Linked DNA regions of Styela clava. The protein of the gene in region 1 interacts with the protein of each later gene in a pairwise test. Links are inferred from orthologs where the notes say so. Each region holds a gene or a part of one and is shown on either strand. Other genes may lie near its edges.

Region 1 (12,154 bases):
ATCAGCTTCCAGCTTACAATCGCAGTACAATACGATACGATCCAATAGGATAATTAAACGGGGAAAAATGTGCTGATCACGCGTGCAACAGAGATAAATTATAATAAAACTGGTTAGTCATTGAGAAATAGTTTGGGGCCATTTAACGCAATTATGTCCGGTGAAAAACAAGCTATGATGTTTTATACTTCTAAAAAAGTCTATATTAGCTGATTTGACTCCAAGATTATCTATACAAACACTTAAATTAATCTTCTGTGATGTTTGAAAACGATACGAAATTTCAAATGTGTAGATGAAATTAATTCCAAACATACACTTTCAAACGACTGAAATCACACTGGATCGGAAATTTAGTGAGGCATGGATTATATTATAGCACCAAAATGCTTTTAGAAATAATTTAATTCAAGTAGGATATGCCAAGAGCTTTTTTGCTGTCTCATTAATGAAACAATCGAATGCAATCATATCTTCTCAACAGTATTGACGTTATGGCAAATACTGACGCTTTTTGCAAAGATTATTGAAGTTACGGTGAAATGCTATTTAAAAATTTAACGACTGGCGCTTTTTAATAGCTGTTAAATAAATATATAGGCAAGGTCCTAAGTGCCTCGGGCCCCCAAATGGCATCCATATGATTAATCACTTTGAATACGTTACATTGGCAAATTGGAGTTTATATACAACCTTTTATCTAAATATTTTACCGAGCTTCCACGTGGACCCAGAAGGAGGTGTCGATTTATCCACTCGTTAGCCTTTGTCGATGGGGTCCTGTCGCGCTCCAGAAAATTCTGAAACGCCCTATGCCCATATATAGTAGAGTGTATATCAAAGAATGCATAAAAATATAAATATAGCACATTCGATGGGAAAATAAAACATTTTTACAATTTCAATAATAAACATTAAAAATAGCGTGCATTATAAATTATATTTTAGCAATAATGTTATCACAAAATGTATTGTCACTAAACTATGGAGGGCGATCTGCAACATAAATTCTATAATTACATCAATAGTTACTGTTACCAATCATCGTGGTTTTCAAAAATTGAATAGACACACGGGTATATACTACATGGAAATGTTTAATTTTTAGTGCCAAATAAATTGAAAACATAGGAAGCACGGAGCGCGATTATGCAAAAATTGGCAAAAGGCATAACCTATTGTAGAGACAGTTTATTACGGGAAAATTCTTCATTTTTAGTTTAAATAAGTTGTAACTATTTTAGGCAACGAAATGGGTCTTCATCAATAACGATAGCATCGATACATAAAACTAATATTGTCACTGAATATTTGTCACCGTTCAAATTTTAGTACATTTGAATTTGTTGCGAAAACGAAAACATTACTGTATATCAGAGATATACCAAATCAGATAAAAGAATGCAACCAGTCAGGGTTTGATTGAATTTATATCAAACTTGAAATGGAGATGAGATAATCATTACAACTCACAAAATTAACAAATTAATTGATGACAAACAATACAGATATAGTAGTACAAGATAGTTTCACAAAGCATAAATGTAATATATATTCATTGATCCAATTATTAGGTTACAAATTTTAATTCTTATTGGCTCGGAACCCCCCAATTTATACAATTAAAAAGACAAAATAATACAAGAACAGTAAAATATTAGTAATCAGGTACATTTTGCTCACCTGAATGCCGTTCGAAATTAGCGATATCGTCCCGTAGCCATAGTTTGCGACGAATTAACACACATGCCATCACGCACCTCGAAGACTGTTTGAGCGATGTACAGCGCTATGTTGGCTTCCCGCGAACAGTAATTAGTGACACAAACTAATCAACGATAATTAATTATCAATCTCCCGATGAGAAAATCTTTTCGGTTGACAGATGAATCAGATGACATTTTCTCCATGCCAATTTTGATCGTTTAATGTCTAGTTTGCACCATTTTCTCCTTCAAATCGAAAGTAAGGGTCATAACATTGCATTAATATTGATTCCGTTTCTTTTCGTAACTTTCAACCGATTTATACAGACAAATACAGGCTGACAAAAACAATTGCTGATGACTAGGATAGGATGGGATTTACATATTTATCCCGGGGAAGAGGAACCACGACCTCTCGCCCGGTTACCATTCCATGTCGGGTATGGGATTAGTTAGTTATTTGTTTTCGGAAGCATGAACTTGATGTTAGAGCAGTGGTTCCTTAAACTGGGGCGCGCGCACAAGATGGAATCGGAAATTTACATGTAACGGCTCCTGAAACGGTCTCCGCGTTCGTTAAAAATACCAGCTTTTTCGTGTTATAATAAATTTTTCTGTTTCGTAATAACTACAATAATTCAAAATGTCTCTCTATTTTAATTCATTTGTGTTCAAAGTAACTCACGGTTGCGGCGACTCACGACAAAATAAACTCATTACCTATCTAAAATACCACGCCAATCCGCGGACATAATAAAGTGTGATCAACTGCCCGATTATATTTAGTTTTTATATATATTGCACTCATGCAAATTCGTTGTCGTCATTAGAAAGATCTGGTATAATATCCCAGAAAGTATATTTAATTTAGTACAATTAAAATACATGTAAAGTATATTAGTAGATGAAATATACATATTCATCGAAACGAAATCCCCGCGGTACGGCTTCTGAGTCAGTCCACGAGATTACGCCAGTCATTAAAAGAGCCGACTTTTTCAACGGATATGTAATGGTTTTTCTGTTGAATAAAATATTCAATTCATGATTGAATTGATATACTCATTTAAAATGGTTGCTTTTTTCATTTAATTGTGATAAATTAAATTTGCGATTGCGTCGATAAAATAAAAGCACCAGTACTCCAAAATAACACGGTAATCCACAACCATAAAAATGTCGATTACATTTTGTTTTGATTTGTATTCTTGCCAATTTCACCAATATGAGCTGTCCCTGCAACTCTTGATCCGCTCTATCGCAATGCCGCCACTCGATTAATTTCAAGATATCATCGTTACAGATATTCCTAAGTCTGCGATCCCACGGAGTAAAATTTATATCAAGTCTGTAGTTTTAGAACACTACTGGTGTGCAGCACGCACAAAGAGTTTGCTTGTTTAGTTTTACTTAATAATTAGTTCGACTTTGCCAAGTATTGCAAACTGAGCGGAAAAACGAGAATGTATGACGACCAACCACTATTTGGCTTTATACATACGACAGTGAATGGTGAAGTTGTACTCCGAAGCGTTTTATGCCGAAACAATCTGAGCAATGACGCTATGAGACCAACACTCAGTTATAGCGCCATCTTAATATATAGCAACCTGCCTATCACAAGAGCATTTTTTCAAAGCAAAAATAGGGGGGGGGGCGCGAAGTTTGTAAATTTTTTTAAAGCGGGGCGCGGCTCAAAAAGTTTAAGAACCACTGTGTTAGAGGAAGCTGTAACTAACCAACCACCATACGGCGGCGAGGAGTCCAGCAATCTTCTCGCACATAACCATCCCCGCTTGGGATTCGAACCTGCGAACCCACGCAGAGTAATCAGAGGTGCGGCGGCGAGCGTATTCCTAACGCTTAGCACGATGAGCCACACCGCCGCGCCACTTCGTGTTAATCGAACATTACGAACATTAGTTAAGCGAACAGTCGACAAGATTTACCAAAGCCTGCCCAGTAGAGTACCTTTGCATGGGTTGCGTGGGGATACTAGTTATCACTTCGAAAAGAGTGATAAAAGATTCAACATCGCGACGTGTTTTCAGACGCACCTAAAGATTTCGACAAAATTCTATTCAATCGGTATTATCGCGACTGTTTGAAATGCTTGTGACGAGAAGATCAGCTGCTTTGAAATAGGTTTTTACCAGACACCTCTACTTCGATTATCATGGTATCCCTTATCAAAGTTTTCTGAAAAACATGACCATCGTTGTCTTGCGTTCGAGGAGAATGCTTAGGCGCACTCTGTCTTCTGTCACTGAAAAAATAAGGCGATATATGTACGTACAATGTTTTGTTACGATGACTGTTATTTTATTTTAATTGACCAACAAATAAATCTTCCTCTGTCTCTACTCAAGTTCAAATGTAATTAGAAAGTGGATTGCATAGAAGGGGACATCTGAGGGGATAGGCCTACTCAATATATGTAGTGAATGCATTCAATCGTAAATGTATACTACTACGATTCAATACTATACAGTAATCAATAATCAGTAGTTTATTTCTCATCATACTTGAAATAGGCACAAACATACAAATTGCGATAAATTAAATTATAAATAGGCCATATTTCAGGGTGAAGGAGACGCGAGAAACCAATACTGGTTATCGAGCAGCGGCACCCATAAAATAAGTCAAACACTAAAGTATAAAGGTTGTTATACGGTTGTTATCTATTCATCTGATAACCCCACGTGTTGACAAATAACGCCACTATGTAGCATAAAAGCATATAGAAATAATAGAATACTATAGAAAACACCGCATATAGAGTAGAGATGTACCGATGTATCGGTATCGGGTATCGGTATCGGCAATATCGGCCATTTTTACGGTATCGGCCATGTATCGGTATCGGTGAGATTAAGGCCGATATTTCCGATATATTTACCTTTTTGATATGGTCCAGAATGTTTTAAAGATAAGTTGGAATACTACTTTTTAATTTATTTTTTGTCTGGAGAGATCGTGAGCTATGAGCCATACATGTCGCCACCCCCGCGAGAGAATAGGATTCACGTGTATTTTTATCAGCCAAATTAGCTCAACTAATTTGGCTATTTTCGCTGTCAAATTTTTATATTGAAATTTTTAATATTACATAGTAATTATGAAGAAATATATCAACACGGCACATAACAAAAAGCAATTAGACGCCCAGTTTTAAATCATACAGTGGAATTGGGGTCCTTATTAACGGCACATGGACTTTTGGCACGGGTATAAATTTTGACTGTTTGTCGTCAAGTACGAGTGTCATTCAGTCCGTCGACATCAATAAACTAAATTCCGACACAATTATCCCTCTACGCAGGTATATATAGATATATTGACATGACCGCCTAGCCCTAGACTATAACAAAATATATGATAGCAATTGTATAATATTATAAAATAGTAAAGTAAAAAAATGTCCTCGACGGTTATAGGTAGGCCTTCTTTTGGTCGGTGCTGATTGATATTCTTTCATGTTGGCTTTGACTTACTTATTGCGTCGACGATTACGATTAGCGACGAAATGAAATATTTGAAAAATGCTTTTAATTTGATCTTAGGACGGCGGCTCTAGAATGTGTGGGTGATATTCGATATTCTTTTAAACACGAATAACGATTTTTGAAGGTCGCGATATTAACATTAAATTCATATTGGACATCCCGGCTTATGAGTTTCAATTGAACACCGAGATTACTAGCGTTACTATACAATGTATCTTAATCAGTTAAAGCATATGGATACCAATCATTAATTTCATATTATGCGACATATATATCTTTTTTTTCGATCTGAAATATTGTGTACTATGAACAACGCTCAGAGACCATTGTTTTAACCCGTCTGCTCTACACAACACACCTAATCAAGTAATATTTACATAGTATCGGTATCGGAATATCGGTAATATCGGCCTTTTTGTAGTATCGGCGTATCGGTATCGGTATCGGCGTTTTTAGCTGGTATCGGATCGGTATCGGTATCGGCGACAAAAGTGGTATCGGTGCATCTCTAATATAGAGACCCATCTTAATTTCCGTTTTCTCAAAATCCTTCTCTAATATATGTTTCATCATACATTTGAGCAAAATAATTTTGCTGTGACTTTATTTTCGGTAATTCATTTATTAATCTCAAAGTAATTTTTTTGAGGCTATCAACTTCTCTCTTTGTATTTTGTACATGATGTTCCCAAAGTGCCTTTGCTGTGGATTTTTTTCGCTAAATCATTCATTGTTCTCAAAATTATTTTTTCGATTTATTTAACTTTTCCCTTTGTATTCTGTACATGTTTCCAAATTGTCTTTACTCCCAAAATACTAACTGACTGACTCTTTGACTTTCAGTTCCACCTAGTGACTGCTGCAATAAATAAACATTTCATGTCAATGGCGGGGAAACCCCACATTTACACTTGACAAGGTCTTCCTTGCTTTTTGTTGTGTTTTGTCATAGCCTATTCCTTGATTATTGCATTCATTTTTCTGTTTTTTTCGAGCCAGGGAGTAGAATATATAGACACCTGCTAAAATGAAGAGGGTGCAAGTATTTGAAGACGAAACTGGAAAACACGGGAAGGTAGGTTTTTCCTGTGTACGTTATCTAGCTTATGAAATATTAAAAATAGACTATCTAATACTGTAACACCGGTATAGTAATAATTTCTATCCACTGATTTAAGCTAAGTGAATAGAATGATGGGTTTTAGTGTAGTTTCGTAACTAAAGTACTTCTAGTGCTGTAGTGGGCGTAGCATAACAATTTTTGCATATGTTAATCATAACCTCCACCTGGCCGCGCCATTCAAAAATTACATCACTACGACGTGACAGTGACGTAATAGAGCCCTTCAAACTATGCAAACTGTGATCCAAGACGCGCAGACGAGCATCCGAAATCGAAAAGCTATTTCCCTCGTTTTCTTGTTGCAACGATCTCAATACGAGAGAGATCGCTGACGTTAGTCAGTTCTTTAACGTCGGCGCAGTTGCCATTTTGGGCAGTGACGCCGTAGTCTGGTAGTGACATAATTTTTGGATGATCCGTTCAGGAAGGGGGGGGGGGGAATAACATATCTAAGAACCGACATGCCAAGCCCACTAGAAGTAATTGTGGGACAAAACAACACAAGTCTCGGCTGTGTGGCGCATCGTGCTAAGCGTTAGGAATAGGCTCGCCACCGCATCACTGATTGCCCTTTGTGGGATCGCAGGTTTGAATCCCATGCAGGGATGATCATGTGCGAGAGGATTGCTGAACTCCTCGCCGCCGTAGGGTGGTTCACGTAACCGCTGGTCGGTTACGGCTTCCTCCACCATCAAGTCCATGCTTCCGAAAACAAATGACTGGCTAACTAATCCTATACCCGAACTGGACTGGTAACCGGACGAGAGGCCGTGGTTCGCCATATGATTAGGCCGGCTTATCGGTTTTCCTCTTCCCCGGGATAAATATGTATATACTATCCTATCCCCAAAATCTATTTCACATATTTCACTCACTTTACAGCTTCATAAGCATTGTAAAATCAAATACTTAAAAGTTGCATCAAGGTTTTGTTTTTGACACAGAAAATTTAAGTCATTGGGAAGTTGTAATGAAAATCTTCTTTTCAAAGGTTTTTGCAGTTCCTAGAAGAATAGAAGAATTATATTCATCAATATGTAAAGTGTTTGGTGTTTCCATCAGTACTCTATACACAGGAGAAGGTGCTGAACTGGATGATGTGAATCTGATAAGGTAAGCTTAAAGCTTGACGGTTGCAACTCCATGCATAAACGAAACTTGGTCAGAGGTCCTGCGTTCATTTCAAACCCTGAACAACTGGATGTTTCCATGAGTCTATGACGTTATAACTGCGAACATCATAAAGAAGGAGTTCATGAGCACAGAATACATGCTTTGGTAAATTTTATACTGATTGAGAAGCTTGTACGTTCTGTAATTTGACAGCATAGTTTAGCGATATTTGATAGAATAGACAGAGTGATCATGTGGAAGTCACTGCTCTACTTTGCCTTGTGGAACATTAGAACTGTATAGGATATCAAAAAGATAGCAGCAAATTTTGAATTAAATTGAATTGTCTGCTTTTGAATTGCATACTTTTGTTGTAATTACATTCATTTTATCCTGTTTTTAGATTTTGACATTTTAGATTGATTTTGAAAGTTCACAAGTCCGCAAAATTATTTTTAAAATTTTACTGGTCCGCAAAGTAAAAATATAAAGAATCACTGGTTTAAACTATATACTCTGTGCTACTATTACATGAAGTTTACTACAGCATTTTTCATTTCTAAGGAATCATATTTATTTCTTACCTCAACCAGGGTAGGTGACATATGACAGTAGACCTAAGGCTATAGTAGCCTAGAGTGTATGATTCATTTGAATAAACTAAGTTTGAAGTCAAAATTAACTCCTAAAGGTTTGTTACTAATCATCTCCCACTGTAATAAGAGGATATGGCTGCAAAACAAATTGTATGAATTTAGTTTTTGTTGATTTTGCTATAAAATATAATAGTAAGATTTCAGTTTTTATTTCACCAAAATTTATGTCTTACTATGCCTTCAAATTTTTTGGTCCGATACGCCTCCAACATATTTATTCTTATCACAGAGATAATGAGCCACTGTATATATTCAAGCCTACTGAAAAAGTTTCAGAACAAGGTAGTATGAGTAGTATTTATTTTTTATTATCAAAGTTTACTGACAAGATTGATTGGCTGGATTTATTTTTATTCATATTTTTTATGACCTCGGAAATACTGTGATAAATTGATTTCTGTTCATAAAGTAGTCTCCAATTTTTTGTTATTATTCAGTTTAATTCTATAATATATTATGTATTGTTTATTCTAATTTCTTGTTATACATTGTTTCGGAAATGTAATAAAATCCCAAAATTGCAATGAATGTTCTTTTTTTATTATTTGCTTATTTATTTATTATTTCATGTAAGTTGTAGCATTGATCTAGAACTTGAAAATGCAAATGTGCTGAAAGGTTTGATATAATTTTCTTCTAATTCATTTCATGTTGAAAGTACCAAGTCATTATATTATTGTCAAACTTTCTACTCTAATCGCATTTCTTCATTTGTTTCAATTTTATATTTTTACCTATTTTCTTTGTGAGGCATCGCTGGCCAAATTTGTAATTTTTATTTACATTTTAGAGCACTCACAAAACCCCGATAATCAGAGTGACTGGATTAGTCTCAACGTTGGTGGGAAGAAATTCTGTACAACAAGGTTGATATTTATCTGTTTTAATAGTTTCTCACAATTAAGAATAGGTATTTCATTGATATATAATTTGCTATCGGGGGTTTACTGTGAAAGTGGCAAATTTCAGAGAAAAAACAGCAATTTTACCACAGATTTTCACAAAAAGTCACAAAAAGTCAACCTGGATGATTGTGCTTTATTGGAAGGATTTTCAATGAATTGTGTACCTGAAACCTAAATTTGTTTCAACCAAACTCAAGTGATAACATCTCATTTGTATATTTCTATTTTATTTAATTATTGATCAAATATTGTAACTATAATGGTATTGTGAAGTGGGGATTTTGTTATTTCACAATGTCAACCTTGATTAAACATGACATCTGACTTTTTTAACTGGCTACACTCAAGCGTCCTAATTATATAAACAGGATAGGATAGGATTTACATATTCATCCTGGGGAAGAGGTAACCCGATAAGCGGTTACGTGAACCACCCTATGGTAGCGAAGAGGCCAGCATTCTCTTGCATATAAATATCCTTGCGTGAGATTCCAACTTGCGAACCCACGAAGAGTAATCAGAGGTGCGGTGGCGAGCGTATTTCTAACGCTTAGCACAATGAGCCACACCGCTGCGCAGGACGCTATATACAAATAGCATGTATGGAATTCGAACAGAAATTTTCCCAGTATCAACAGAAACTTATTGGAATAAGTGGCAATTCTATATCTATTTCGATAAAGTAGAGTTTGGTATTAGAAAATGCATAATAATAAATGTATCAATTTCATCACATCTACATCTTTGGATATACAGGCAAAAATGTTAGAAATAAAAATTTTTGGTATTCTTATCAAAAAGCAGGTATAACTTGGTGATAGGTTATGACTAACTCATTAATGCGTTACCATGTTAAAAATTAATCAATTTGCGATGAATATTCATTCCATTTATGATATCTATATCATAATCAACAGCCCAGTCTTTGTAGAAGTAACGTCAACTTATTTATTCACATGTTTTTTCAAAATACACTATCCCCTGTACATTATCTCAAGTGCTGTATTGTTTCGCTTCTATTTTGCTGAGTATATAGCGATATAATATTTCAATTGATGTAATGTGTAGATAGATATAAGTAATTTTGTGATTTCTTTGTTTTTATTTTAGGAGTACATTAGTAGCAATGGAACCAGAAAGCATGCTGGCAAAGATGTTCCGAGATGAAAGTGAGTAGCTAGATAGATAGTAGATATCATAAAAATATTCTTTTAATAAAAGTTGAGATGAACATGGGATGTCTATGAAGTGTAATTCTATATTGAAAATGCTAAAGATTAATGATTCAGACTGTTGGTATTGCCAAACCAGAAAGATTCTGGTCCTTTCAAAACGTAGTACCTCCTCACATATCACCGGGTGAAAGGCCTGTAAAAATGTTATATGAGACAGTTTGCAGTGTAATTGTGATATTATCTAATTTTTGTTAGTTGAATATATCTTTAGTTGTCATTCAGCACTGAAAAGAGTTATAGAAACCTAATATAAAAATATTAATCATATGAGGAATTTGTATTACAAGACATATGTCCATGTTGAGCTGATGTACATATACTGGATTCATTTTGTTTGCAGCATGTTTCTGGTCATATCAAAAATAAAATGATCAACCTAGATTTTTTTACCAAACTCGGGGTACTACCAAATTACTATTTTAAGAGCAAGGAAGTTCCTTGTTCTGTATACGGTACATTCTGTCACACTCTGAAATATGTGTCATATCATGTTATCATAATACATCCTGTCCAATATATAGGTGAATGTAGCAAGCTGTTTATGAATAAGTACTATTTTCTTTTAACAAGTCCCGAATGTATAATTGTCATTGCTGTCCGCATCATCGAGGCTGTATGTATGATTGCTAGGTTGGAGTTATGCAACTCGTTGAATATTTCAGATTACGTTCTGTTACCTTGCATGACAAAGATTCCCAAAGTTTACAAACTATACATTTACATGTAATACAGGTCATGAAATTGGAAAGAAAATTTGAATTTATTAACATTAAGTTATGAAAAGGAATAGCTTTGCAACACATTCACACTTTCACACTAAATTTGACACATGCGTTGGTTTTTGTGCACGTTTTTGTGCACGTGCAAGTCATGCTTTAGTTACAAGTCAGTATTTTTGCATTAATTTTAACAGTTTTTATTATTTTAGGAAATAGTTTTTAACGAAATTGATTGATTTTGGGGTTGCAATCGAATATATTGCGACGAACTAGTTTGTTACAGCGTACAGATTGGGAACCACTGTCTTGTTATGCCCCCCTTGGTTTGTGTGAGTGGTTGCGGAGTTGCGGGGAAATAATCCACTTTATCCCTTGGGATCTTGTGCCAAATCATCTCCAATCTGAATTCTTACTATGGTTTAATAAATAGTTTATCTCCTACTTATATTTGACTGAAAATCGACTTTGGTTCTTGAATTCAGGAATTTTGATTACAAAAACTTTATCGACATTATGGTAGACCCTCTTGTATTTCAATTACTCCAAGACAGTCCAAGATGATGATTCTGACTGTTTATTCTGGTGAGCCCATAAATATGATCCAAAAAATCTCACAAGCACACAATTAATTCAGTCCAAATTGATGTTCAGGTGATGCTAATGAGCATTATAATTTATAATAATATATAAATTTAAACTTTCATTCACAAATTTGAATTATTATCAGCGTCCCATCTGTAGTGCTTAGCGCAAAGAAGATCCTGAAACATTTATCGCATTTACGGTCTATTAGGTGTTTTCGAGTACACAGAAACTCACCTCTAGGTGGTGCAATTGAGCAATGTAAGAATACTTTGACAATTTGGATCTACAAAATATTGTGCTGTGGTTCTTATTATAAATGTTTATTGTGTCCTTCTGAAGCACTGGTCTTTGAATCTCTAGAACATATGTAAAACAAAATAAAACAATATTTTTTCAGGTCAATGGAACAACACTCGAGACAGCAGTGGGGCCTACCTTCTTGATCGAACTCCTGAATATTTCGAAGTTATTCTCGGTTATTTAAGGCATGGTCAACTCATTATTGATCCAAATATTAATCCTCAAGGTAATAATCTTGTATTTTTTATGTTTATCTTATTTTATAAATTGTTTATTTATCAGAAATTTTGTACCGATTGGGGA
Region 2 (12,595 bases), on another chromosome or scaffold:
TGTATTAATTGAAACATATACAACTTTTGAGCAATGTTTTTTATTAAATTCCAATGCTAACCTCATGCTACGTCACTTCCACAACAGCAGACAGTCAAGCTAAGTGACTCTGTGATGGTTAGGTCAATTTTCAGTGAATTTTCATAATCAGTATTGATGGCATGAAAAGGCCAAATTGCAATTGCAATCTTGTCACCTGACAAGGCATTCTTATATCAGAACATATAATTTCGATGATTATTATTAATTTTGTTTCAGATGGCCAAAGTATGCTGGTGGTATTTTTTCTCAAAGTACATAGAGCTTGCAGACACTATCTTCTTCATATTGAGAAAAAAATTTAATCAAGTTTCATTTCTGCATGTTTATCATCATGCAACTATGCTGATAAACTGGTGGCTAGCTATTAAATATGTAGCTGGTGGAAATTGTAAGTTAAATTAATACCTTTTTTATCATCTTTCATTTTTTTTTTCTTCAATGTTGATATCCAAATAGTATCCCAGTGAAAAAAATCATCTTTATCTAGAGCAGGAGTCCTTCTTTTGGTGTTATGGAGCCTATGAGGCGGTTGACGTTCATTTGCGGAGCCTCACAATAAATTCATAAAATAAAAGCAAACAAATAAATTTCTACTCAATTAATGTTCCCGATTGAATTGATGTTACTTTATTTAATGACGCCGATGCATTCGTTGTTATTGCTTCTTTGGACAGGCTCCGGATTCTGTGAAAAAAACCTGGGGGCTCCGATAGGTATTGATTCACTTTAAAAATACTGACTAATTTTGTAACTGTCCAAAGAAGCAGTAACGGCATTATTTAAATTTGACAACCGTAATTTGAATATTTTGTAAATACATCGCATCAGGTTCATCCCAGTCATTAAATAAAGTAATTTTAATTTACTCATGAACTTCAATCTGTAAGTAACAATGTGTTTGTTTTCATTTTTATAAATTTATTTTGGAGATCCATAACATCAAGAGTTTGAGAACCCCTTATCTAGAAGATCGTCAGAGTGATGATCAAGGTGGTAATTTCAATTTGGGAGACTTGTGTTGGATACCTTGATTTTTAACCCTCATTTGAACTATTCTTGTTATTTGTATTATTCACTTTATTTTCAGCTTTCCTCATCGGTGTTATCAATTCATTTATCCATGTTATAATGTATTCATACTATGGAATAGCAGCCATTGGACCTCATATGCAGAAATATCTCTGGTGGAAGAAATATCTCACAAAATTACAATTGGTATTGTATTAGAATTAGATGATATTAGTAATTTTGTTAACCGAATGAAGATTTGTTGTAGAATAGTGCTCCAACAATTCAAGTTCGTAAATAATATATTAGGAAGCTTTTAAATTCAGGAATGGTATGTGAAAATTAAATATTTTAGATTATTTAATAATGTGTTATGTGGCAGATAATATTTTTTGAATTAATAAATCTATATTGAGTACTCCTTAAGTATGCGCACCAAGATATGGCACAACCTGAACCCTAACCTGGTACACAACCTGAGTTCAGGTTGTGCGCCATCTTGGTGCGCATACTTCAGGAGGTCCTTATATTGTGATATTGTTGGTGTAAGTTTGGCTTTGGATATTTAGAAATATTTATTTTCATATGGTTAAGTAATCTTAAATTTGTCGGCACATTATTTGAATTATTTAAATAAATAGCAATGTACAATATTAAATTATTACATTTTACTTATCCTTTTCTCATTTTATCTATCGCCATGCTTTATCATTCCAGATCCAATTCTTCATCATGCTAGTGCATAGTGCAAATATACTTCTTGGCGACTGTGATTTTCCGAAGTGGATTAGTGGTCTTGTTGTCGGATATCAAGTCACACTCATCTTATTATTTGGAAAATTTTACTTCGATAGTTATCGAAGGAAAAAAGATTGATTCTAATTATTTTAGAGAACCAAATTACAATTCCAGAAAATATTGAACTGTATTATTCAAATTGTAGGAAATTATCAAAATCTTCATTTTCGAACCCCTGTGTTATTCTAATTTCTGTGGTAGGCTATTGTTTGATTACATTGGATTTTGTATTATTCATACTGAAAATTATTACCAGTGTTTTAATTTGTTGTTTAGGCTTCTACTGTTTGCATATGATAATTTACAGTGTTATATTATTAAATTACTTACTTTTACAAAATTGGACCAAAACTCTGGTAAAGTGTTTTAACAATTATATCTAATGTAACAATATATTTTTTATAATTGATTAAAATCAATTCAGTGGAATACTGATTGCCAAATTTTGATTTCAACTAAATTTTACAAATGAATGATATGTAGGTTATTACCTACGGGTAGTTTCATTTTGTGATTAAAAAAAAATTTAAATTTGCTGTGTTCCAGTCTTATTCATTTCAAATCCTATTTAATCTGCCTCCTTCAGCTATCTCCAAAATAATCTGAGACAGGTTTTCATTTTAAATAGCAAAAGTTATTTTTTCTAAACTAAAATATGCAGAAAACTTACTGTAATCTCACAGGTGTATAGTAATCAATCTTTTAAACTTTAGTCTTCCAAATAATGGTGCTAAGCATGATAATATAATATAGCAAATGCCAATTTTATCAATTTGAATAAATAAAAATATCTCCATTAAGTTCTTGTATAAAATTAGAAGACAAAATTCAGAATATCATGTATGTATGTATATATAAATATATAATAGCAAGTATAGCTAAAATTATCAGCGAAATTAACACTTATTCTGTTACTAAACTAGAGCAAATACTTAAAAAGTACATTCCTTCATAAAATAGCAAGTTTATATATTCATATATTTCATGTGTGCAACTATTTGGTTATCAAAATAAAATACCTGTATGCCATAAGTACCGGTACTCTTTATATTTTGAATGTGAAAAATATGCAGTTTGTACTTCTACTGTTATATTTTGAGCCAAATTCCATTTTCTCTTTTGTATGGTCATATTTACCCTTTTTACCCATATCAATATGTAGTCAGAATTCGAGATTTCATTCCATTACCATAAAAAAGTGTTTCTAGTTGTAAATTTTTGTTTAATTCCGCTGGATCGAATATTAAAAATTAAAATATAGGTTTTTTCACACTAGTCCTGTACCGGTTTGAATGTTATTAATAATGGTAAATGTGTTTTATAAGTTGGACACTATACAAATATAATATAACTGCTTACAGTAAATTTGAAATGGCTCTAAACATGCCATTCAAACTAACAAACGTAATGATTTTGAGAGTATATGAAAGAGATGTAAATCGAATAGTATTTTAAATCCAGTTGATTTTTATTATACAAACAATATGATTTTTGGAGTGAAAAATAAACTGAATTGAAACTAACAAAACTAATTTATGATATAGAAGTAAAATTCCTGGACGTAAGAATCCATAGTGTTACTTTTGTATTACAGTTTTTTTTTGCTTCAACTTGATCCCATAATGGGGGTATTCAGTCTCAATCGGAAAAGAAATAAAATTTACACCCTGAATGGCAAAATTTGAATACCGGTAGTTTTTTTTTTTCATTTTCAAGTATATATTTCCATTCCAAAAGCAATGCTTCTCTTTTGACTGGTTGTAATGTTGTTGACATGTGATTTATTTTATAAGATTTTAGTTAGTTAAAATGAGCTCGCCAACCATATCGACTGAATTTTTGGCTCTTGGCTACCATAAAATTTACTACTATTACCATGAATATCAGGTTGTAATGTTATTGAAATTCAAAGACATTCTTATATTGCTTCCTTTCTTTATGTGACATGAAACTTGACTTGGCTGAGTTTTCAAATAAATGCCTCCTAAGTTGATATACCACTGTTTTTTGAGCAAGATTTGATACAATTTTATAATATATGATTAACTGTTATTTTGTAGATTTTCTTGTAAAAATGTTACAAATGTTTCATATTAAACTTTGTTTTTAGGAACAGAATTTGAATTTATTGCCTTGAAGGTTTGTTTTCAAAATACTTGTACATAATAAAATGTTTCAAATTTTTTTGTTTCAAATTGTTTTACAGTTATTTCCTCATTATGATGATTTAAGTTAGTTTACACAATATCTATTTAAACAGTAGTAGATGATCTGTTCATAATGGATAATGAAAATACTGCTTTGGTCACCAGAAAACTTCTACACATGATCAAAAGCTTGTCTAAAGAAGTTGAGCTGTTGTATTTGAAAGAAAAGTTCCCATTTGCATTTGAGGGGAAACCAGTAGATACTGCAGAACACAAAGCCTTAACAATATGCCATTTTCTGAAGGAAAACCCAGGAATGTATAACGATGTATTGTTATCTTTGATGCAAGAAGAAAGTGGACTGAGCATACAGATTGAAAGAAAAGTCAAAAAATTACATGCATTGGTTTGACTAGAAATAAAAATGACTTCATTTTTTAATTAATAAATATCATTCAAATCCAATTCAAACTGTAGTTCCTGCAATTTAATACTGTGCTCAATGATTAAGTAAAGAACAGCCATCGAAATTTATATAGTAAGCAGAAAATAATTGCTTACTTCAATCGCAGTTTAGAACTTCCAACCATTTCGCTAGATGACCTCTGCCCGCCCAGGCTTGAGTCATGTGCTACAATCTTTTTGTTCGTCACTCTGTGATTCTGGCAATTGGATTTGAAATAGTATGTTTTGTTTCACAGTAAATATTGGTAGTAAATTGTAAAATTTATAGCATATTTGACTATAATTCAAAATTGAAGCAGAAATTCTTAACATAGTTTAAATGCTGGTATTATTGAAAAATCTTACTTTACGTGCTTCATCAACAAAATGTAGTGTTTTATTTCATCATTTTTCTCAAGCACATGGTCCTACTATCTGCATTGTTGGGAGTGGTCCTGCTGGGTTTGGAATATCTCAATATTTATTAAAGAATCATGACTTGTTGCGAATCAAGATGATTGAAAAATGCCCTATTCCGTATGGTTTGATAAGATATGGGGTTTCTCCTGATCATCAAGATGTAAAGAACTGCATCCATGGATATGAGAGAGTTGCAGAGAACCCTAGATTTTCTTTCTATGGGAATGTTGATGTTGGAAGCGATATAACACTAAGTGAATTACACCAAGTATCTGATGCTGTGGTCCTTTGCACTGGTGCACAAAAACTCTTACAGCTTGGAATTCCTGGAGAGGATCTACCCAATGTCTTTTCTGCAAAAGAATTTGTTGGCTGGTATAATGGTGTTCCACAATACAACCAGTTAAAGCCGGATTTATCTGGTTCAACTGCAGCAATCATTGGCGTCGGGAATGTGGCATTGGACTGTGCAAGAATGTTGCTTAAGCCACATGAAGAATTAAAAGACACTGATATTACTACAGAATCTTATGAGGCATTGAAAACAAGCAATATTAAAAATGTTATTTTAATAGGAAGACGTGGTCCACTTCAAATGACATGCACTCGAAAAGAGTTGTCTGAAATTACAGATATTGCGAATGTGACAACAATAGCAGATCAAAAATGTTTCACAGATGCTGTAAAAACAGCTTTGAAAATTAAAAACCTAAAATTGAGGAAAACACAAAGACTTGTGAAGCACTTGATGACATCAATGACTAATTCTGATTCTAAAGCAGACTCCGAAACCAATCAAAAATTTGTTGTTAAGCTTTTGCGATCCCCTGAACAAATTATTGAAAAAAATGGAGCAGTTTGTGGTGTAACATTGAAGAAAAATTTTATGACTGGTGAAGATGCGTTCAAGCCTGATATATCTTACACAAATGAGACCGAAAATATTGATTGTAGCTTGGTCATTTCAGCTATTGGATATGGGAATGAGACTATTGAAGAAACTATTCCTTTTATTGAAGACAAAATTATGAACAATGGAGGCAGGGTTGACCATGCACCTCCATTATATGCGTGTGGTTGGTGTAAAAACGGTGCAAAAGGCGTTCTTGCAGATACTTTAAATGACTGTTTGATAACCGGAAAAACTCTTTTAACCGACTTGAAAACTTGGGAACAAAAGTATGATAAAAATAAAGGAAAATTGGATGAATTTCTGGTACAAAAACAGATAAAATCATATTCTTGGGATGATTGGAGAATTATTGATAAATATGAAACAGATCAAGGCATAAAATTGGGTAAAGTAAGAGAAAAGGTGGTTCATGGAAAACAAATGTCTGAAATTATTAATGCTAAATCAAATGATGTATTGTGACATAAACATTTTTCTTTGTTGTAAAACCTTGTCAACTTGTTCTGATTACAATGTTGGAACAGTCTTCAATCATAGATCCGTTCATATTGTTTTTACATCAATAAAAAATCGATGAAGAGTCCCTAAATATGTATTTCATGTATATTGATCGGAAATTTAACTAGGTACCTTTTTCTCAGAGTTTTAGTCTTTTATACTATATATACATGACATGACTCAAAAAATGACCTGTATGTATCGAGAATAAAGGAGGGAAATGTCCGTTCCCTGAGAATCTCATCTTGTCATGAACATGTCATCAGAACTTCCAAACAGAGATGAATGCACGTACACAAAATGTTATTGGTAATATTTATGTTGTTCAAATTTGTCATGATATAGAAAAATATTTGTAGGAAATTGGTGTTTGGACAATTCATAAAGAAGGACACAGAATTAACCGAATACATACAATCATATTGTTATGAAAGCTTTGTCACAAGCAGTCACTAGAAGTTGTATACTTTCAACTTAATCTATCTAGAATTTTTTTTTTTCTTGGACCTCGCTATCATATAAATCTTTTCTTAAATGGGATTCCATATTTATTTTGTACTTCTTCAAAGCCAATAGGGAAATTGAAATTCACATTTCATGATAAATCATATTGTTTTCAGCTACTTTAAGATAAAACAAAAAAGTTTTCCAAATATAAGATTAAGGATGTTATATTGTTTAAATTTCATCCAACATAGAAATAATAGTTAATTCAGTTTCATAGACCGATATTGAATTGTGTCAAAAACAACTTCTTTTGTTTAATTCAATTTCACAGTGAAGAAAATGTGTGGAAACTATGCAAGTACATTGAAGATAGTGGAAAGATAGAACTCTTATCCAATTCATATGCAATATTCATTTCAAATCATTATCGCACAATTCCTTTGTGGAAACAAAAAGCGTCAAAACGAAGTGATACAATGGTGATGTGGGATTACCATGTCATCTTATTTGTTGAAAATGAAAGGTATTTCTATACTCCTTGTGACTCTTCATGTTAATTACCGTAGTAATTTCACTATACTTTGAAAAACTACTGACATTTGATTAATAGGGAGCGTGTTTATTTGGGAACTAAAGTGTCAATGTTCCTGACTCTTGTAAGAATCCTGCATCATTTACTAAACAACAGGGACCTCTTGCATTGAGCACATTTGAGAATACAATCTGCAAAATCAGAATAAGAAAATTCCAATTTATAAAACCCATAATAAAAATTATTGTCATTCGGCCAGTGGTAATTCTGATGAATTTTGCATAGTACTGTAATGGCATTCCATTTGCAGATTATTAACAATTATAAATCCAAACAATCACGCCAGATATGCATTGTAATTTTTGTAAACATTACATAAGGTGGAAAATTGTTAGAAACATTGCGTAACATGAGATTATGTACCGTAACTGATATATTAATCATTAACATATTATTTGGGTCTATCTAAATAGGGAAACCATGAAGCAGTTTAGTATTTTTTATACAAGTGATATATGTTAGTTCAGTATTGGTCATATGGCCTGGAATATTTCTATTAATGAACAGAACATGATAAATTCATTAGGCATGCCACTGATGCATTTTATCTATCTTTCTGTCGTTAATAATTAATATTCAACTAAAACAATTCTGGATATGCTTATTTTTGTTTTTGTTTTGTAGTCTTATATATGATCTTGACACAATGCTGGGATTTCCTTGTTCATTGGAGGAATATGCAACTGAAGCATTTAACTTTAATATGAAGCTCAAACCACAATTCGAAAGGTTGTTGAGAGTTGTTCCTGCAACTGAGTTTTTAAAAACTTTCGCATCTGATAGGTAAGAGTATAACTTATATTTATAGCGGAATTGCTATGTAGTCTGTGTGGCGCTCCCCAATTCTTGGTGCACAACCTGAACTCTAACCTGGTACAACTACTATGTTCAGGTTGTGCGCCGTCTTTGTGCATTGCTTGGTGCGACGAGAAGATTGCTGGACTTTGCGCCCTAACAGGGTAATCAGCATCTTTCTCCAAAAAGTTCTTGTGTTTGGGACTAATATTTGGTCATCAAATCATGTGCTTGACCCAGAATACAAGAACTTTTAACAAATTAAGAGTGATTCCACCTTATCACAAGCTACGTTGGTTCAATGTCCATATAGCAATGCATCTTTATGCTTAGGCATAATAACAATCTCACCAAAGTTTTGTGTCATTGCAAAGGCTGTAACGGAAAAGATCCCAAGGAGCGAGAAGGATAACCTAATCATTTAAAAAATCTGTTATGGCTTTGGAATCCTGCACTGGTTACATATAGCATTTTGGTTTAAACACGTTATGTATATCTAATTTTGCTCTGCAGAACTCATATGCTCACTGAAGATGGAGAATGGACGTCCCCTCCTCCTGATTATCCTCCTATTAGCTCTTCTTCATCGACCAACAACTTGCAGAGTTTTATCAGCATGACAAAATCAAGCGAACAGTTTGGAACAGTGCAAACATTGGAAGAGTTTATTAATAAATATATGTTGAAGGGTTGAGTCAGTTATTGAGTATGTTTTACTCACTGTCGGTTAGTTGAAGACGAGTCCTGGTCAATCCATTATGATGACCTTGATCACCTGAACCAGAGATGAAATTGCTGGTAATAGGTGGTTCCCCAGTCACTCACATGAAACTCTGATAACACAAGAGTGGTTTGCCTGAGGCGGTGAGAGCGTTGATCAGATTTGTCAATCCTGAGAACACAATGCGACTGCCTAAAACTAAAAAAATATTCACATATTCATCCCGTGGAGAAGAAAGTCGATAATACAGCTTAAACATATGTACATATATATAAAGGAAATAACTTTATCCCAAAATGCTGATCGTTCTATAATATTCCGATTTTTTTTTATCAAGATAGTAATATCCAACCCTTTCGTTAACTATAGAAATTTGATATAGATCTTTCACCACTGGCTCTGAATATTATTGAGTGGGGTGGTGAAGTGTTGTTTAGACCGTAAACGCCTTTACGTTGGGCTTTATTCTCTCTAAATAACAAATTTTCCACATATTGCGCCACGTTTACGATGATAAATAATCCATTTTTGTACTCGCACGGAATTGTGAATCTGACGAGAGTTATTATACGTTCATTGGCGGCGAGGTTCTAAAGACAAATGAAGGAGTGAATCCGCGGTGCAATTTTTTTTCGATTGAAAAGCGGCAATATAAAATACTGAACATAAAACCATGAACAATAATAAGTTTTGTTGGGGTCCGCGACAGTCTAAAAACGCTTTGCTACGCATTGAAAATCGCACACTGTGGCCGGCGTTTAAAAACATATCGTCACTAGAATCGAAACACGGTTAATTGTGAGCGGGATTTACCCTTTTTATCCATTACTTTAAATTGTCGTCGAAAATTTTATTGTTAATATTATACAAAGTTAGAAACGCGACTTTTTCCTGGGTTGTGATTATATATAAGATAATTAATCTAAAATATATTCAATCAATTTTTACTGTGCTGAAATAAATTTTACTCCGTGAGATTTTACAGCAGATCCACGGATTTTTCGAACGGTTTATCTTTAAAATAATCGGAGTGGCAGCATTGCGATTTAACGACATTTTGTAACATCGCATCCCTAGTTGCATCAAAAACCACGGAGCTTCTATGCTCAAAAAATTGAACAAATTTAATCATTTCAAAGGCTCCGTTGGCATCCTATTTAGTTGCAAATCGAATTTCCAAATTTAAAAAACCTCGTACAATTGCTGGAGAAATATCATTGATATTGTAAATGATTGCCTGTACATCCGCTGAAATGATGATCTATTGATTGAGCAACTCCAAGGTAAGGATTTGGGCTACAAATAGATTCTATATGTTATGTACGTTTTGCGAACTTCGGTGATAAAAGAGCTGCTGTGTTGCAAGACAATTTAAATTGTGATGTCAGGAAATCGATCTTTTTAAACTATTCAAAAATTTCATTACAGCCAACAAACTTGATTGAAAAAGTTGCACCAGCATATGCAAAGGTGCCAGAGCTGCACGTCTGGTCGTCTCACTGGTTTACGAAAACATGCGACAATGGAAAGCTGAACACACTGTATGCGACACCGGGAGGCATTTTGTGCATAGCATTGTTTAGGTAAAGTTTTAAAAACAACTCGCTAATTGAAAAGACAAATTATAATTACTTATCCTCATTTTCAGGCATGTTTGTAATCGGTTTAATCTTCACGATGAGATCTGAGAGTTACTTCCTCGGCATATTCGACATAATACTCAACTACATTTGGACTTGTTTCTGTCGCACTCTTCGAAACAATTGCAGTTGCTTGGGTCCTCAAACTAGAGAAGTGAGTGCTTTATATTTGAAACGAGATTTTTAAGCCAGGGGTGGCAACTGTTATTAATACAGGAGGGGGATATACAAAAAACTGGGCGAAACCGCAGGCCAAACTTTTATTTGACACAAACGTTCTAGGGAATATTTCTGATTTTCTATTATTCATGATGCAAGGATGCCTAGTTGCATAGGACTTACCGTGACATTATTGTAAAAATATAAACAGTCCACTTATTTTTTTCCAGCTCCGAAAATGACAGAGAGAATGATTCAATCAAATCTGGATTGTATTGGAAAATATCATGGGGATATACCTGCCCAATTATTATGGTCGTTATACTGATTGCAAGCTTCGTGGACATGTTCCTCAACCCTCCGAGTTACTACGCTTAGAACAAAGACATCGGCTCGAAAGACGAGTCAACTTATCTGCCATGGGGCGTGTTTATTATTGTTTTACAGATACTAAGCTCGATGTTCTGTATTCCGTTATTTGCGGGTCATGTACGTTCCCGAATTTTCAACCCGAAACGGATCAGTGCGAAATTTTGCGGGATAAATAAAAGAGCTGAACAGAATTATAATGATGAAATCAGAGTTACGGAATCTGCGACCCTGTTGAATTTAAATTATACGAACAAAGTTTGATTATCGATATTTATGATCCGCTAGGTAGCAGATTGGTCAAATATCGAGGTATCACTGTACTTGCTTTAATACTGTTTTTCATGAAAGCCCTAGCATGATAAGAACATCTGGTATAAACCTTCAAAAACCGGTGTTTTTCACAAAATTACACTATCTATGACAAAATTCTGTCAAAATCACAACATCCGCTTCCAACAGATTCGCCACCTCTGATTTATATACTGTGCTACCTTAAAATTAATTTATCCATCTTTTATTGTACAATTTTTTTTTGTATACACAATGTTTTGCCCTGTTTGAATTTGGTATTTATTGTTCTGTGTCTGCTTTCTATTAAAGCTTTTACTTATTTCACATTCAAATTTCTTGTTTTGTCTTGTTTTGATTGTTTTGAATGTTTTTTTTTTCTGTGATTGGCACACGATATTTATGCTAGTTTTTACTGATCCAAAAGTCGTTAGTATTTAAATCTGTACCAAATCATTTAAAACTTGATAATCTAGAATTCTTTTCAATGAGACAATTGTACCTTTGCCTCAAAGTTATTGCTTTAGGTTTGATTAAAAATGCTAAATTTAGTTTGATTACACAAAATTTTACTCCATGGTACATAACTTTTGGATATTTTTCAAGCGCGACTTCAACTAAAAAAAATTCGATTTTTTAAAGAATATCAGATTGTAAAATTATCCAAAGCTCATCTATAATTATCGGGTACTATTACTTTGGACTCGTATGTTAAAACTTCTGATTTTAAAGATAAAAATTACAAATTTAAGTTTATTGCTCAAAATCAACTACTATGAGAATTCATTAAAACAATCTAGAATCCTTTAGAAAAAATACTAATTCAGTCGAAAATCTTAAATTTATAGTCAAGATTTATAAGCCTTTTATTATCATGTTTTAAATCTACTCTTTAATGATAATTCTCACCCAAACAATTATCAATATACACAAGTTTTTTGTAAAACTTATGAACGGTTTCTTTCATTATACACAATTTCTTATTCCAATCAGAGGTATTTGTTTTATTTTCTATTGAAGCCTTTTCTTTTTCACACTGAAATGTAGTGTCTGTTTCACTTTTATATATTTTTCGTCTCATTCAGTTTTGTCACAATTCCTAAACGTCAATCCTAAAGTAGTGGTTTTCAAATTTTTCAAGCCATGCCCCGTTTTTAGAATTTATTAAGTCTCTTGCCCTACCCCCCAAAAAACTAGCTAACAATAAGCTACGAATACCAGATAGTAGGAAAGTATGTTTTATTCAAAAAAATGCGTTGAAAATACAAGGATGGATTGTAAATATCCAAAAAAGAAGGACAAGATCAAATC

The links.
Region 2: the proteins of BTB/POZ domain-containing protein KCTD9-like (region 1) and protein N-terminal glutamine amidohydrolase-like interact in binary tests that used the Homo sapiens proteins (3 or more experiments, as listed by UniProt). The link is inferred for Styela clava from reciprocal best matches to the Homo sapiens genes KCTD9 and NTAQ1.

Annotation. Positions count from the first base shown.
Region 1 is NC_135251.1:23,488,827-23,500,980, reverse strand, and holds the start of BTB/POZ domain-containing protein KCTD9-like, read left to right. Parts: upstream 1-6,111; 5' UTR 6,112-6,242; coding exon 6,243-6,290; intron 6,291-7,329; coding exon 7,330-7,451; intron 7,452-8,336; coding exon 8,337-8,389; intron 8,390-8,897; coding exon 8,898-8,973; intron 8,974-10,122; coding exon 10,123-10,181; intron 10,182-11,948; coding exon 11,949-12,077; intron 12,078-12,154. UniProt on the Homo sapiens protein: Substrate-specific adapter of a BCR (BTB-CUL3-RBX1) E3 ubiquitin-protein ligase complex, which mediates the ubiquitination of target proteins, leading to their degradation by the proteasome.
Region 2 is NC_135262.1:9,683,296-9,695,890, forward strand, and holds the start of protein N-terminal glutamine amidohydrolase-like, read left to right. Parts: upstream 1-6,370; 5' UTR 6,371-6,520; coding exon 6,521-6,579; intron 6,580-7,048; coding exon 7,049-7,240; intron 7,241-7,933; coding exon 7,934-8,092; intron 8,093-8,617; coding exon 8,618-8,798; 3' UTR 8,799-10,108; intron 10,109-10,253; 3' UTR 10,254-10,408; intron 10,409-10,473; 3' UTR 10,474-10,619; intron 10,620-10,854; 3' UTR 10,855-12,595. Other genes in the region: very long chain fatty acid elongase 4-like, read left to right, coding at 259-430, 1,130-1,257, 1,768-1,926; NADPH:adrenodoxin oxidoreductase, mitochondrial-like, read left to right, coding at 4,780-6,234. UniProt on the Homo sapiens protein: Mediates the side-chain deamidation of N-terminal glutamine residues to glutamate, an important step in N-end rule pathway of protein degradation.